Linked DNA regions of Alligator mississippiensis. The protein of the gene in region 1 interacts with the protein of each later gene in a pairwise test. Links are inferred from orthologs where the notes say so. Each region holds a gene or a part of one and is shown in the gene's direction. Other genes may lie near its edges.

Region 1 (8,422 bases):
TGGTGCATGAATCATATTATTTTTAAAATTTATTTCCATCTTAGGCTGAACTTCCACCCTAGCTTTCCACAGTTTGATGGTTCCTTTGCACAAGGGCCTGTTTTTCTGCTGTGCTGCATAACCATCAGCCACACAGAGTATACTGAGAGAAAGGAGTGAAAGGGAGGATCCAATCCTGTTTGTCTACGTTGGTTGCAATAGTCTCCTGCTTATTCAAATCTGGATTTCTCCCCTAATAAAAAAAAAAAATCCTAAATTTACAGTACAGGTTTCCCTCATTTTATGCTGTACATGCACTCCTGGAAAATGGTGTATAATTCATATTTGCATAAAGGAAACCCACTTGACAATGTAACAAATAGGGATACGTTGCAAGACCTCGACTGTACTGACCCCCAGATCCATTTCTACCACTTTTACAACAGCAGACAGTGCACACAAGCACAAGGCGCTATCATAATGGGCATGGCAACTGCAGAAACACGTGTTACCGATCATGAGCGAGGAGCACAGATCTGTGCAGGAGACTATGTTGGTGCGTGTCACTCCCACCATGCACCGCACAAAGCAGCGGACTGCGGGCTTCCACCACATCGATCATATAAGAGTGAATTTACCTCTCATATGGCAAATTTTTTGGTATAAAAAGGGTCATCACATAAGAGCGAATTCTTACATAGAAAACCCGCATAAAGCAAGGGAAACTTGTAATCACCAATAACAGTGAAAAGTGGTATCTTTCATTACTGTATCTTGTAATCATTTTTTATGATTCATCCCCAAATTCATTTTTCAATTGCTCTTTTAGCCACAGTTTATTGAAGGAAGTGACATTCATGAACCCTAGAATAGGTTAAGGAAAAGGAAAGGGGCATTTTTCTTTCCTTTTGGGAAATTTTTGGGCCTATTGCTTTCTTTATTTTCCGCAATTAGATTTTTTTCTCCCAACTACTAGCTTTAATCTCACAATTCTGTCCTTTTTGCCTTGTACTTTTGGGTCGTATTCCTTCTGTTTAATTCCAGAGATTATCCAGGGCATAGACTGACAACTAATAATAATAGGCATCTGTCTGTCTCATGAGACAATAGATTTGTGCCAAGTGAGGCATCAGCTCGTTGAACGTCTGTAAGCATGGCTCTAAAGCCCAATCCTTGAATGGCAGTCCTTTCTGCACTTATCATATGTGAAGTTTGTATCTAAAGGTAGTGAAGGTAGTCCTGAATGAGATGCGGGGTTCTTTCAGAGGCTTTTCTATAGACTTAGTGCCAACTATGTTGTATGTTAAGGACAAAGACAAAGGGAATTGGGATGGACCAATTCTTACTTGCAAACCAATTGTTACTTGGAAACTAAGACAGAATTAGAGCTCAGACATCCACAAGTGACAAGCTGTTGCACTGATCCCCTACCTTTCTCATCTCTCCTTTGATTACTGGTGGAAAAGAGGACATGAAAAGACTGGATCATTCAACTTGGAGGAACAGAGGATTCATTTTGATCTCTAGCAGCAGACAAATCCAACTACCTGATCATAACCAAAACCTAGCCCTAAGTGGGTTGCAACTTTTAAGGATAGGGAAACTGTCACTATTGCTGTCTGCATCATAATTGTAGCTGATCTAAGGACAAGGTTATTAATATTTAGCCCGTCACTCTTCCTAAGCATTGATATATACTACTTCTAAAAAATCTAACAATAGAGTGCATGCATATAAGATTTACAGTAACTATCTGCCGATACACAGAAAGCTTGACCGGTGTTACCAGAACGCTGAACATCCGTGTTACATAACGGTGAGACTGATTACTGACACCACACGGTTTGGTTCTTGGCAGAGCTTGTGCACATCTCAGGTGACAGAAGTCCTCTGCCACCCCGTTGCTCTGAGCAGCAAAATATCCTGTTGCAAAATATTAGAAATCAGTTCCATGAGCGAATTCTTCCCTAAAGCAGGACTGTGATATAACTTGGAGATCCCCAACCAGCAGCCCCAGCTTTCTTTTGGAGAAATATGCAGCACTGTGGCAATCATTTCTTTTGTTGTTTTCAAATAAAACAATGGGCTAATATAAAACGTAGTGCGGTATTCTGTAGCAGATTATAAGCCATGTGTTAGCTCCAGCAGTTGCACATTATGTTAAATAGGCCTCAACAGTCTGTTCTTTTTATTTTCTTTAGTGCTTTGTTGTATCACTCATATCCTATAACAGCAGATGCTGTATGTGTGTGTCAGGGAACCAATCAAAAAGAGTCAGGTTCAAGCTAAAAAAGAGACTATGGTCATAGAAAAACCCTGAGTGCTGTATGATACCTCTGAAGGGAAGTCAGGTTTCTGGGCATGCATAGCCATGCATTATACAGATGCTCTTTTCAAATATAAGCCTCCTTTATTCCCATTCTCCAGGCAGATGACGGGCACTTGTATTAGGTGATAAGCTACGTGGACCACTGAGCTACCAGAGCATTTGTGGTGCATATTCGACAGCTATGCAATATGCCTGCTTTAGACAGGAGTGGGAGAGAAGAGTCTACGAGCTTTGTACGGTCAACCTCACCGTTTGTTTGCGTGCACAGGGACCAGCAGGTTTTGTCATGGTGTTACAGGCTCCCAGGGCAGTAGAGTATTTGGGTTCTATATTTGGATAGACTTTCTGACCTGCAAGCACATTGCCACTGTTGGAAGCGCCGCATGACTTTAGATTGGCAGTTTCTGCCCAGAAAAGCTTGCATTCACTGGTTGCACAGTGGGGCCTCTGACCCAGCGGAGGTCTTTGAGCACTAACACCAAATAAATGTTAATATAACAATGGCACATGCAGATTCTTCACCGTCATATCAACAAAGAGCATGGTTTGGCTCTGAAATTTTAAAATAAAAACATTAGGATATATCCTATTAGGACAGAAAACATATTAACTTAGACCTTTTGCATTATAATAATAAGCAATTAAAAGTCTGTAAGCTGTCTGGGACAGGGATTGTTTTTGTTCTTTGTGCAGCACCTATCACAGCGTAGCCCTAATCCATGATCGGGGCTCTGCTCTGGGGCATTGCTGCAATACAAATAACAATGAATCTGGTTGCTAAACACTCTACCCATTCCTAAAGCACCGTTATCTACAGGGAGAAGCAGAGCTACAGCGGCTAACAAGTTGGGATTCAGCTGCTAGGACTAAAAGGGCACTGCTTTCAATAATTTTGATCTCATTAGAGAAATGCCAGGCCTTTCTCTAAAGCTACAGGGCTTCAACTCTGACATGGTTTCAGCAGGAACAGACACCTTGCTCCAGCAATATCGGTTTGATTTCTCCACGTACCAGTACTACACACAGGTGAATGACGACGCTCCCTGAAATGTATAGGTTGAAAACCTGGTCCTACTGAAATCAATGGTAGCTTTGCTAATGGGGCTAGTTTTTCCAAGCTAGGAATTTGCATATTATTGTGCCGGAAAACAAAATACATGAGTCAGATCAAAAATTGTCACCATGGTGCTAATGACTGGTCATAAAGGGGTCTCTACAAAGCAAAGGGAAAGGGCGAGATCTGCTAGGCCACAATATCACCTGACATTTATATTCTGTTAAACAGTAAGGTCAGGATTTTTTTGGGTGCTCTCTTTTACTGGACCAGTAACGTCGTTGGGTTAGAGTTAGACAAGCTTTCGACTGCAAGACGTTCTTCGTAGGGTCAAATGACGGCGAGCGGAGCGAGAGAGAAAAGAAAGGAAGCTACTGCTTATGGATCAATAAAGTTCCTGATGCGAGGTTTGCCTAAGGCAGGTAAAATACATCACCGAAGAGATGCATGACAAGCAATCTGATCCCAAAGTGGGTGGCGCTCGCTGAGAACTGCAGCGGCTGCATTTCACTGCAAGGGTAGAGGCTGCATGGACAGCATCCAATCCCAGGGGTGGGGGAACCAGTTTGACCCTTGCAAAAACCTCCCCCCAAAAAAAGGATTGCAAAATTTTAGGGCCCCCAAAAGCTACTCTTCAGCCCAGTTAAAAAAGGATTAAATCAGCCCTAAAAAAAAAAGGATTGCAAAAGTTTAGGGCCCCCAAAAGCTGCTCTTCAGCCCAGTTGAAAAAGGATTAAATCAGCCCTTAAAAAAAAAAAAAAAGGATTGCAAAAGTTTAGGGCCCCCAAAAGCTGCTCTTCAGCCCAGTTGAAAAAGGATTAAATCAGCCCTTAAAAAAAAAAAAAAAGGATTGCAAAAGTTTAGGGCCCCCAAAAGCTGCTCTTCAGCCCAGTTAAAAAAGGATTAAATCAGCCCTAAAAAAAAAAGGATTGCAAAAGTTTAGGGCCCCCAAAAGCTACTCTTCAGCCCAGTTAAAAAAAGGATTAAATCAGCCCTAAAAAAAAAAGGATTGCAAAAGTTTAGGGCCCCCAAAAGCTGCTCTTCAGCCCAGTTGAAAAAGGATTAAATCAGCCCTTAAAAAAAAAAAAAATTGCAAAATGTTAAGGCCCCCAAAAGCATCAGGCATTTGCCCTCCCAAGAGCCACTACTGCTATCCTGGGCTGTGTCATCCCCATGCATGGGGGGCACTGGGACGCATGCGCAGAGCCCAACCCCGTGCGCCCCCTGTCGGGCCGCGAGCGCCTGCAGCCTCCTCCCCCCGCCTGCCCACTAGAGAGTCGCGCATGCGCGCCAGGTTCTGCACTCCCCCACCTCCCAGCCCGGCCCGGCCATATTTTCCCGGCCTGCCCCGCGCGCGCTCCGGCGTTGACGTCACCGCAGCCCGGTCCCCGCCGCCATTGGACTTGGAGGCTCGCGCTGCATCGCGGCCGCGGGCCCCGCACCTCCCCGCGCCCCCCCCCGCACCCCCCCGCCCGGCCTCAGGGGGCGCCTCTCCCCCCCGCACGGGCCCCGCGCCCGCCGCCCGCCCCCCCCGGGCCCTACATGAAGTATGTCTGCCACCAGCGTCGACCCTCAGGTGAGCCCCCCTCCCCCACCCTCCTCCCGTCTGTGTCCGTCCATCCCTCCCTCTCCTTCCCTGTATTCCCACCCCAACACCAGCTCCAGGTAAGGCCAAATCAGCCCCCCCCCCCCCCCACACACACACACACGTGTCTGTGCGTGGTATGAAATCTCAAACCTAATAGGGTGGGGGGAGGAGGGGGGGGGGTCATTCTCCACCTCAAACTTTTGGGTTGTGCAAAAACATTTCACAAAATTGATTAGTTTTCTTCTCTTTCTCCCCCCCTCCCCCGCCACCTCCTCTTCTCCGGGCATCGCAGAGACCGAAAGGACAGGAAAATAAAGGTATGAAGGGGGGGGGGGGGGAATTTTAAGGGGGGGGTATGCATCTTTCTATTTGCATCTTATTTAAATGTCGGAGCAAGCAGGTCGGTGATACGGTGGTTTCTCATCATCGGGAGCTGAGCTTGGTGTCTTGCACGCACGCTGTGTAAAGGATGGGATTCCTGGCACGCGGGTGTTTTGAGCGTTTTTGTTTCGATGTTTCATCCCTGTGAGGCTGCTTGATTACAAACACACACTCCTCTCTTGTAAAGATGCCTTCAATAAGGCTACAAATGCAGCGTGGAAGAGTCTTTAAAAGACCAATTAAAAACACAAACGCGCACCCAAGGTTGCTTCTGTTATATCATTATTTTTCTGTCGTTGGGCTGGATTTGGCCGGTGTGTTACAACTCTTTTCCTACAAGTCGTTTTAATCGAACGATACAAATACCCGTAATAAGCCGGTATGACAACGCGTATGACCTCCTTTATCAAATATTTAACTTTGCCAGCAAGTTGTCTCGTGAGTTAACTAGCCTAGTTGTAAGTCAGTTATGTTACTGTAATATTATTGGTGAATAATTACATACTCGTTAGCATGGAAGCAGGTCCCCTATTAGTTTACATAGGCGTAGGTCTGCCATACAAATGTCTTTCAGATTTCATTTTTCATGGTTTTTCAAACTGCTGTAGTCTTAACAAGTTTCAGATTATTTCCTCTGCTCTATAAATGCATTAATTTATGTTACAGGGGTGTCGGTTGTAGCCATGTTGGTCTAAGGACATAGGCAGACAAGGTTCCTTGCGTGAATTTGATATCTTTTATTAGACCAACCCAAATAGTTGGAGAATAGTTATTAAGAAAGCTTTTGGGTTCAAAAAACCTTTCGTCAGGCTAAGGAAGTTTTAGCAGTTGGTATGTGCTCTTCCTGGTATCTCTCCACTTGTGTATATATATAACATAACTTATGTTATGCATACTACATTTCCTGGAGATATATATATATATATATATATATATATATATATATATAACTTATGTTATGCATATATCTCCAGGAAATGCAGTATGCATAACATAAGTTATGTTTATATATATGTTATACATACTGTTCTATTTTCCTTGACAGCTTTTCCTGAACTTATTTTACTTTTGCATACCCATTTTAAGTCACTATTTTTGTCATCTTTGAAAAGAATTGTATTTGCATTTTTCTTTTCTCTGGCATTGTTTTTAGTTTAGCCTTTCTATGAAACTGCTGGATTACTTAGCAAAGACTTAATGCATGCTGCTTGCTTTATGCTTCACAATAACTGGCAGAAATAAAGTGTGATGCAATTTAAATAACCATTTTGCATTTTTTATATAGCACCTTCTCAATGTGCCTTTTAGAGAGCTTTGCTGATGTTTAGCCTGAAATGTCCCTTTGTTTTAGCTAGGTATTTCCATTTTACAGGTGAGGGAAGTGAAGCTTAAGATAGCATTTTGTTGGCTTTTCCAAGCAATACACACCCAACAGCCATTATTTTATCACTGCTGACACAACTTTTTAAAGAACTCAGTATGAACAGCAGATGTTTGCTATTTGTATTGTCATAGGCATGGAGTAGGGACACCTGTTATTGCTATGTCCTCTAGTCATATTCACACATTCTTCTCAAGAAATGCCTTTCTGTGATTCTAACATTTCCTGGAGATAACGTGCATGTTCACCCTTGTTAAAATTGCAGGTTCTTCATTTGACTATAACTTGCAAGCTGTAGGAAAAAATTGAGTATAAGATGTTCTGAAATTGTCATTCAAATTAGTTTTGGAAGCAGTAATGATTTTCAGAGTGCACTGGGAAACTTTCATTTTAGAGAAATTTGACCCCTTTCCTTGTCAAGGATTAATGACAATGTCACAAGAAGGATTTACTGTACTCTATTTTTTTCTACAGTTAATTTAGGATGAGGTTCTTCATTGAAATGTTATTAAACAATGTAATAACATGTTGCAATGTTTTGTTTTAGTACAAAATGGTTCATTACATCAGAAGGATACAGTTCATGATAACGACTTTGAACCTTACCTTTCTGGACAGTCAAATCAGGTTAGTGTATCTTTTGTTAATTTACCTTTGTTTCTAAGGTATAGATTGGGCATAGTAAGGTATATGGCAAACACTACTATGACTCTCCTATGCTCATAGCTCCCAAAGTCTGTGAGGCTTTAAAAGGGAAATAGCCAAAGAAACAGCTCCAGTGCATTAAGTATTACTGAGTACTGTTACTAGCACTTTAGCTCAGCTTTGTCACAAGTGAAAATGAAGATAATGGTCCAGGTCTAGCTTGTATACTTTCCACATCAAAGTATTATTGTAAAATCTCACATAGTTGCTTCTTGGTAAGGCCTTGGTTTTGCAGTTCTTCAGTAGTCAGAGCACCTGTTACAGTCACTGAGAGATTCTGCTTTTAGATGGACTTGGTAACGATTGTGATTTGAAGTTTGCACAGTAGCTCTATTTGCTTACTACCTTTCAGCAAATATCATTTCTTCACATACATAATCTGATTTTTTGTTAGAGTTCATGTTTTTATTTATTCAGTTAATGTGCCACTGTTCCCAACAAAGGCTCAGGATGGCTTACAAAAAGAAAACAGAAACAGCTTAGCATGGAAATATAATTTAAAATACTAAATTAAACATGTGCACCAGAGTAAGGCAATGTGATGTAAGACTCAAATATTACTGCTTCCTGCTAATATGTATTGATACAGTGCCTATGACTTGTAGAATACTTTCCAGGAGAATGTTCTTTTATTTTAAACAGAAGCAGTGCTGCTTAAGATGGTTTTAAATGAGAGCAGAGAAAATGAGATGCATCAGAACTAGAGGTGTGAAAATTATTGGATTAGATCCTTCCCTATATTCCTCAAATGCAGAGCAGTGTGCCTCTTGGTCCATAATTGTTCTGTTGCTCCTTTATGAGAAGGGCTGAACAGATATTTAAGGAGAGCATAATACAGTGGTCTCTGTAACTGATGTACAGTATACACTAGCTAAATATCTCCAACATCTTGGATTGGGTTCTCTTATTCTTGTTTAAAGAACCTTCTTTAAAACTATGCATAGCAACATACTAGTATTCTTACAAGTGAAAGTAGCTATTTAATCTTAATGTTTGGCTTGTTTT
Region 2 (8,433 bases), on another chromosome or scaffold:
TTCCTAAAGTCCAGAAAGACTACGTCCACTGCTACCCCTGCATCTAAGGATGTTGTGACCTGGTCGTAGAAGGCACCAGGTTGGTCTGACAGCACCTGCCTCGAATGAACCTGTGTTGGCTGCCCCTAAGCATGATCTGCCCTGCCGGCCCCTCGTGGACATGCGCTAGAATAACTCTCTCAAAAAGCTCACCCAGGATCGAGGTAAGACTAACTGACCTATAGTTCCCTGGGTCCTCCTTCCTCCCTTTTTTGAAGATGGGGACCACGTTGGCCCTTTTCCAGTCCTCTGGTACAATGCCAGGGCACCACGAGTGCTCATAAAGCTGTGCAGGGGTCCCGCAATGACCTCTGCTAATTCCCTCAGCACTCGGGGGTGGAGATCATCAGGACCAGCTGATTTAAATATGTCCAGTCCCTCCAGAAGTTCCCTGACTTGATCCTCGCTGACCCTAGGCCTGGCTGCGCCTCCCCTGGGGCCTGAGGGGGTCCCGGCGGACGGGCTGATCCGGTCCCTGCTCAGGAAAACGGAGGCAAAGAAATTGTTAAATAAGTTAGCCTTGTCGTCTGGTGTGACAACCGGATTTCCTAGCGTGTCTTGCAGAGGTCCCACGTTACCTGGCACCTTCTTTTTGCCCCCTATGTATTTAAAGAAGGACTTCTTGTTGTCCTTGATCCAGGTAGCTAGTCCCAGTCCCATCTCCGCCTTGGCCTTCCTGACCACCCTCCTGCAGCCCCGAGCACCCGAGGTGTAGTCCTCCCTGGGGATGGTCCCTCCCTGCCATTGGGTGTACGCCTCCCTTTTAGCCAGGAGACGTTCCCGTATGCTCTTGGTGAGCCATGGGGACTTTTGCACCCTCTTGCCCCTTTGACCCATGTTGGGATTACCTCCCTTTGGGCTTGGAGGATCGTCTCCTTAAGGAACGACCACTCTTCTTGGACACCCGACTCCCCTCCCCTCCAGGACCTCAGTGCTTCTCCAACTAGTCTCCTTACCTCATTGAAATCTGCCCTCCTGAAGTCCAGGGCTGCTGTCTTGCTGCAGGCTTTTGCCACCTTGCACTCATTGCCACTCATGGCAATGAAAAATGAGGAGGCTGTTAAAGGAATACCCCCAAATGCTGACACGTTACATTTCCCTTGAGCGCAATGACGCCTGTGGATGGATAGTTACCAGAAATGAGGGGCTCGATCTTGCAGACACACACAGCTCCCTTTACCCCGAGAAGCAGTCCCACAGGTGTCACTGGGATGAGGAATGGCAATGGTTTGGGGTCTTGCACCTCAAGATGGCAGATTCAAATCCAGCCCAGGTGTGGGCACAAAGAACCTGTTCCTGAAAGGTACCGGACACCCATTTGATAGAGAATAACGTAGCCCAGGTTCAAGAGCAACAACATGTCTGAGATGAGCTGCAGGATTTGTATAATTCCTCGTAAGGGTATGGTTAAACAATACCCTGCTTGCTAAGGTTGGAATTTGGCTTCAGATTTAAGACATCTGTGACATGTACAGTTCCAGCTTCGTTGCACAAGAGTACACGTGACGTTTGCTATACAGAGGAGGGCACAGGGACAATCAGGCACTATCTCCTAGTACAGGTGTTTCTGTGAAAGCACCCTAACATGGCTCTCGCAAGGACCGTCACCTGGAGAGGCTGGAATGAATTCCTGATTAACCTTGTACGTGCCCGGGGACAGTCCCAATTTCCCCTCTGCTTCTCTCTCGCTGTGCCGGTTGCTCCCTGCGCGTCCTTCTTTGTCTCCAAGCCCTGCATCAACTACAATTAAAGCACGCAGGCAGGGCTTGCAGCAGACAACCATTTAATTAGGGGAAAATGCAACAGTTATTGACCTCTGGTGCTTCACGTGAGAACTGCAGTGGCACAAATGGCCTTCATGTCCTCGCTCTCCAGGACTGGGCTCTGCTCCAGCCAAAGAAAGACCCAGACCCACATTATCGCACCCCAAACCCACACCTTTCAGCTGGAACGGACTGCAGGGCCAGGACCTGCAACATCCCACAGACCTTTAGAGACAGGATCTAGACAGCTTGGACCATGGACCTAGCCAGGGGACTCTAGTTGCGTGATACACGTGCCCCCTTCCCAACCGAGACTCAGGGCAGCTTGCAGCACGAGAAACCGACTCAGAGAAAACCAGAATAAAGCAGAGACCCACGACATAGCCCCTCAGCCCAGCTCCGGTGAGGCAGGCATTTACATGAGTACATCTAGGATGTTCTTTTCCCTCTCATATACTTAATTTCCCCCTCCACACATCATTAATATGGCAGAGCCACACAACAGCTTTATTGTGGATGCTTGCCAGGCCTTTATCCTGGGTACGTGGGTGTGTTGCAGACGTGAGGAGGTGGTCAGCAGTCTGTGGTGCAACACCACACTCACATACCGGACGGTTCTCCAAGCCAGTCTTACAGAGCGTGGCATTAAAGCATCCAGCTCCAGAGCAAATCCTGTTTAGTTTAATCCATAAATTGCTGATTATGGATCTAGGAACTTGCAGACTTACGGATCTAGGATGTTGAAAAGCAAGGTGCAGATGGTGAGGCGCATCATCACATATAAAGAACACCTATTTTTCTCCAGGTGAAAAGAAACTAGAAGCTTTACTAATAGGCCTGGGGATTGGGGCTGGATGAGTCTGTTTAAAATTGAGGCAAAAACAAATACAACTTCACTGGAATTAAAGCAGTATCTGCAGGGCTGTGAAATAGGAGCTCCAGCACCAGGCGCAGGCAATGGACAGCAGAACTGCAGACCAAAGGATGCTTGATCGCTGGAACATCAAGACCGTTGAAAGGAAGAGGGTCGTCCACACCTGTGGGATGAGGGGTGTAGAAGGGATCTGATAGGTGACAACGGACTCCCTCAGCGCTGCCTGACCAGCAACGCTGCCGTCACTGCCCGGCAGCTGGTTTTAAACTATGGCTGGAGCCGGACTCAAAGCGGGGTGCAAATGCACCACTGCATCCCCCGGCATCCACCCCTGGGCATTTAGCAGCCAGAAACACCCAGGCTCAGGCAGCCTCAAGAGGGAGGGAGCTCCAGGGCTGCGCCGTGGTGGCTGGCAGCCATCTCCCCCCGTTCCAGCCCAGCGGACTCAGCACACGGCTGGTCCTTGCAGGAGGCTGCCCTTGCGGGGCAGAGGGACGGGTTCCCCTCGGGGCCTGGCTGTGTAGGGCTTTGTAGGTCACACCCAGTGCCTTGAATTGCTATATGGGACTAGGCTGCTATATGGGACTGGGCAGTACTGCTATGTGAGCAGGGAGGGCGTCGCAAAGGTCTGTAGCAGTCCAATCCTATACAGCCACACGTCTGGTCCTGTATAGCAGCCTGGTCCTATACAGCAACACTGGCCTGTCCCGTATAGCAGCCTGGGCCTGTACAGCCCCCCTGACCTCCCACAGGGCAGCTCAGTCCTACGCTGCCTGGTCCCATACAGCAGCACTGCCCTGTCCTGTCTAGCAACCTGACCCCATACAGCCCCCCGACGAGTCCCACAGGGCAGCCTGGTCCCATATAGCAACACCGCCTGGTCCCATACAGCATCCTAGTCCCTAGAGCAGCCCTGCCCTGTCCTGTATAGCAGCCTGGTCCCATACGGTACTGCCCAGCCCAGCCCCATACAGCAGCCTGGTCCCATATAGCAACCTGGCCCCATATAGCAGCACTGCCCGGTCCCATATAGTAGTCCGGTTCCATATAGCAGCCTAGCCCCACATAGCAGTACTGCCCAGTCCCATATAGCAGCCCAGTCCCGTATAGCAGCACTGCCCAGTCCCATATAGCAACACTGCCCGGTCCCATATAACAGCACGGTCCCATATAGCAGCCTAGCCCTACATAGCAGCACTGCCCCGTCCCGTATAGCATCCTGGTCCCATATAGCAGCACTGCCAGGTCCCATATAGCAACACTGCCCAGTCCCATATAACAGCCCAGTCCCATATAGCAGCCTAGCCCTACATAGCAGCGCTGCCCTGTCCCGTATAGCATCCTGGTCCCATATAGCAGCACTGCCAGGTCCCATATAGCAGCCTAGCCCTACATAGCAGCACTGCCCCGTCCCGTATAGCATCCTGGTCCCATATAGCAGCACTGCCAGGTCCCATATAGCAGCCTAGCCCCACATAGCAACACTGCCCAATCCCATACAGCATCCTGATCCTATGTAGCAGCACTGCCCGATCCCTGTCCCCTAGGCGCGCCAGCCCCCATTGGCCCCGCCCCCGCGCTCCCATTGGCCCCGCCGGTTGCCATGGCGACACGCCGTCTCCCCCCCACATCCGGTAGCCGGGCTGCGGGGCGGAAGTCGGCGCGTTCAGTTCCGGGCCATGCCCCGGAAGCGCAGCGCGCGGGCGCCCGGGAGCGGTAGTCCCGGCGGGCGAGGGCCGGCGCCGCGGAGTTGCGAGGAGGTCGGTGCGGGGGCCCGGCGGGGCGGGGTGGAGGGCGGGGGGCCGGGCCCGAGCCCCCAAGCTCGCGGGCGCGGGGAGGGGCGGGGTCCGCGGGCGGGCCGCGGGGTCGCATCCTCCGCGCCCGGCTTTGTGGAGACTCTCCAGCCCGGGCCAGACCGCCTGCAGCTCGGCGCCGCGTCCGCCGGGGCCAAAAACAAAGCTGCCATCGCCGGGGTCCGGAACGAGCTCCGGCATCCTCCGCCATCACGCCTCGCGGCGGCCCCTCGTGCCCGTTAGTCGCGGGCCCGCCCCTCCTCGCGCGTGGGGGCGCGAAACACGGGAGCCCTTCGTCTCGTCTCGGTCCGGAGGAAGAGGACGGCTCCGCCAGGCTCATTATCCTGCCGAGTCTTAGGGGGCCGCTAGCGGTCATTCGCTGACCGCGTTGCCTCTTGGCGCCGGACACCGGTTGGGACGCGGGGCAGGAGTCCGCTCGAGCCGCTCGCTACGCCAGAAGGTGCCGCCCGACGATCTGCGGAGGCCTCGTGCGACCCCGAAAATCTGTGAAATGGATGAATTTCTGGGGCGTGCGTCCCCGCGTGCGACCGTCTAGGTCGGCCGCCCGGTTTGTCAGCGTTTAGCTCGTGAATCGCCTCCGGGGAAGTTTCGCTCGCTCAAAAGACACGTGATTACTTGCGACCGCAGTGGGACCGCTTGGTCGTCCGCGTAGACTGAGGCAGGAGGTCTTTCTCGGTTGCCTTTCCTCTCCACTGAGAGTTTTGCCGTGAATATTTGAGTAAGCGAGCGGCGTTTGGGATCGGGTCCCTCGTACGCTCTTTGGAGAGGGAATACAACTGTAATGAGTGTTATAAGTTGTAAGCTCATGTCCAGGGTGCACGTATGTGTTACTGACAGCTTGGATCCATGCAGGAAAGAAGAGCCTGAAGAACCAGACCTCCTGGAGCCAGCTGTCCTCTTTAAAAGCGCTTGGAGGTTAGGTGAGGAAAAGGGCAAATATATAGTGCCCAGCTTTAAGGAAGGAAAGGAGGAGGACCTGGGGAGTCAGCCTGCCCTTGATACCTGGGAAGATCATGGAGCAGGTCCTCCAGGAGTCTCTTGCGAAGCGCCGAGAGGACAGCCGAGGGATCAGGAACAGCCCGCATGGATTCCCCACGAGCAAGTCATGCCTGACCAACCTGATTTCCTTCTACCATAAGGTGACAGGCTATGTGAATGGGGGGCAAGCAGTGGATGTGATGTATAGACCTTGGCTTTAGCAATGCTTTTGAAACGCTCTCGCATGACAGTCTCATTCGCCAGCTAAAGAAAAGAGGACTAGACGAAAGTACTACGAGGTGGATACGTAACTGGTTAGATCACCTGTGGTCTGTGGACCTTGGGGGTCCGCAGACTATGTCTAGGGGGTCCGTGATCAATCAAAAGTATGTGAATACTCACACTTATAATTCAAAGGGGTCTGTGCTTCCATTCAAAATTTCCACTGGGCTCTGTACCTCCACTTGACATTTTTTAGGGGTCCGCAAATGAAAAAAGATTGAAAACCACTTGCTTAGATTAGATTAGGCATTAATGGCTCAATGTTTAGTTGCAAGGAGGTATTAAGCGGGGCTCCCCTAGATTCTGTCCTGGGTTTGCTGTCGTTCAGCATCTTTATGAATGTTTTGGTTGATGGGATTGAGTGCACACTTAAATTTGAGGATGTCACCAAGTAGGATGGAGTTGCGGGCGCTTTGTAGGGTAGGATACAGAATGACTTGGACAGACTGGAAAAATGGCCAGCTGAGATCCAGCACGGAAATGTGCAAAGCCCTGCGCTTGGGATAAAATACTTGCATGCACAAATACAGGCTGGGGAATGACTGGCTAAGCTGCAGGACTGCAAAGAAAGACCTGGGGGTGACAGCGGACCATAAGCTGAATATGAGCCAGCAGCGTGATTTCGTTGTAAAAATAGCCGACAGCACCCGGGGTTGTACTAACAGGAGTGTCACTTGCAAATCACAGGAAGCGATGCTTCTCTGTTCAGCACTGGGGAGGCCTCCCCCCGGAGTACAGGGTCCGGTTCTGGGCTCCACACTTCAGAAAGAATGTGCACAGATTGGAAAGTCCAGCGAAGCATGACAGAAATGATTAGGGGCTTGGGAAGCGAGGAAAGGCTGAAAGAACTACAGTTATTTAGTCTGGAGAAGAGAAGACTGAGGGGGGATTTGATCACAGTCTTCAAATACCTGAAAGGCGATTGCAAAGAGGATGGAGATGCGCTTTTCTCTGTGGCTGTAAGGGATAGGACTAGGAGCAGTGGCCTCAGGCTACAGCCAGGGTAATTTAGGTTGGAAATGAGGAGGAAATTCCTGACTGAGGGTGGTCAAGCATTGAATGGGCTGCTTGGAGGACTTGTGGAATCTCCATCCTTGGATATTTTCAAGAGCAGGTTGGACAAACACTTGGTTGGGAAGGTTTATTTAGGGATGGTCCTGCCTTGAGCAGGAGGCTAGACTAGATGATTTTGCAAGATCCCGTCCAACTTTACTTTCCTATGATCCTGCTTATATGGAGAAGAAGCCACATCGCTTTTTGCCTAGTTCAGCTTTTCCATGCAGTTTAAACTCTTTATCACTAAAATAAGGTCTGGCTTTGTGTATATGCTGGGAACATCTCCGAGTGCTGTTTTCATGTAGCTCTACTCTGAAAAGAGGCTTTGCATTAGGTCTGATTCTGTCTCCCTGGAATAAATAGGATTTTCCCATTGACTGCAGTGGTCACTCCAAAAGTATAATATTAACATTAATAATAATTACTATTAACAATTACAGTGGATGATTAATATTTTAATATGAATATGGACATTGTCATCTGAATGGGAAGCCCGCCCAGCTCTGCTTCCAGTTTGTTACAAAATCCTTGCTACTCTATCAGATGTACCCTAAAATTGTCCTACCTTTAAGTGATCAGGCTGAGTAGATCCTTTCCCAAATTAAGCTTTGTGGTCCTGGCATTTTTCTTGTTCCCAGCCAGATGTCCTAAGCTCCTGTTGAGGAAACTGCAGGCAAAGCTGCATATTGAAAAAAAATTCATAACTTCTTAGCTGGGAAAAAGCAAATGCAAAAGAATTCAGGCTGCTTTATATGTGGAAAATCTTTCACAGATGTATGCCAGTGTTTTAAAGAAAAAACCCTGAGAGAAATCACAGAAACCATCGACCTATGTATTGTGTTTCAGTCCCACGTGACCTGAACTAGTCAAAATTCAAATACCTGTAAATCAGTAGCAGCTTTTATCCAGATAATTTCCAAGGCTTTTGAAAACTTTAATATTCAGAGGGATCATTTCCCTTATGGCTAGGATATAACACAGCAGCTGTTAAACAGCGTGTAGCCATGCTACTCAGCAAGCTAAGGCAGAAAATTTGAGATGCTGCGTTCAGATGAAGCTTCCCAGAACACAGGCGTCTAAATTGGAATCTGGTCAGATCCCTCAGCTTTGTCTCAGCCCAAAGAGAGTTCATATTGGAAATAGTGAGGGATCCTTCAGATTGATATTCTCTTTGAAATGTCTAACTTGCTGTCTCTTCACTCCCTTGCTTTCCTAGGAACCGGACCTTTTCACTCCGACAGAGATGATCTCGCTGAATTCCCTTAAAAAAGGTAAGAAGCTGGGGGAGAAGCCCCATGTCAAATGTTACTTTTTCTTGCCTGATCAATCAGCCATAATATTATTTCTGTAGACAAATATATCAGTTCCTGAGACTTGTTACTGTCCACTTCCATGTGAGAAGGAACGCCAAATTTGTCCTACAAGCTAGCATCCCAAAGTGTCATGCTGCCTTCCCAGTGTAAGCTGATACCTCATTCATTAAATGTTTGTGCTGGAGGTACGGTTTTTTTACATGCAGTACGTGGGAAAAGGAAGCCTGCATAAGAAAGTTATTAGCGGTGTTGGCAGTAGCTGCATGTCACATAGGGACCAATTTGGTCTTCCTGTGGTACGTCGTAAGTCGAAG

What was found.
Region 2: the proteins of YTHDF1 (region 1) and DHX30 interact in a two-hybrid assay, tested with the Homo sapiens proteins (2 studies listed by BioGRID, with this or other methods). The link is inferred for Alligator mississippiensis from reciprocal best matches to the Homo sapiens genes YTHDF1 and DHX30.

What each region holds. Positions count from the first base shown.
Region 1 is NC_081832.1:4,251,710-4,260,131, forward strand, and holds the start of YTHDF1 (YTH domain-containing family protein 1), read left to right. Parts: upstream 1-4,757; 5' UTR 4,758-4,911; coding exon 4,912-4,938; intron 4,939-5,242; coding exon 5,243-5,267; intron 5,268-7,257; exon of another isoform or gene 7,258-7,259; coding exon 7,260-7,339; intron 7,340-8,422.
Region 2 is NC_081828.1:217,718,722-217,727,154, forward strand, and holds the start of DHX30 (ATP-dependent RNA helicase DHX30), read left to right. Parts: upstream 1-4,518; 5' UTR 4,519-5,503; coding exon 5,504-5,629; intron 5,630-8,022; coding exon 8,023-8,077; intron 8,078-8,433.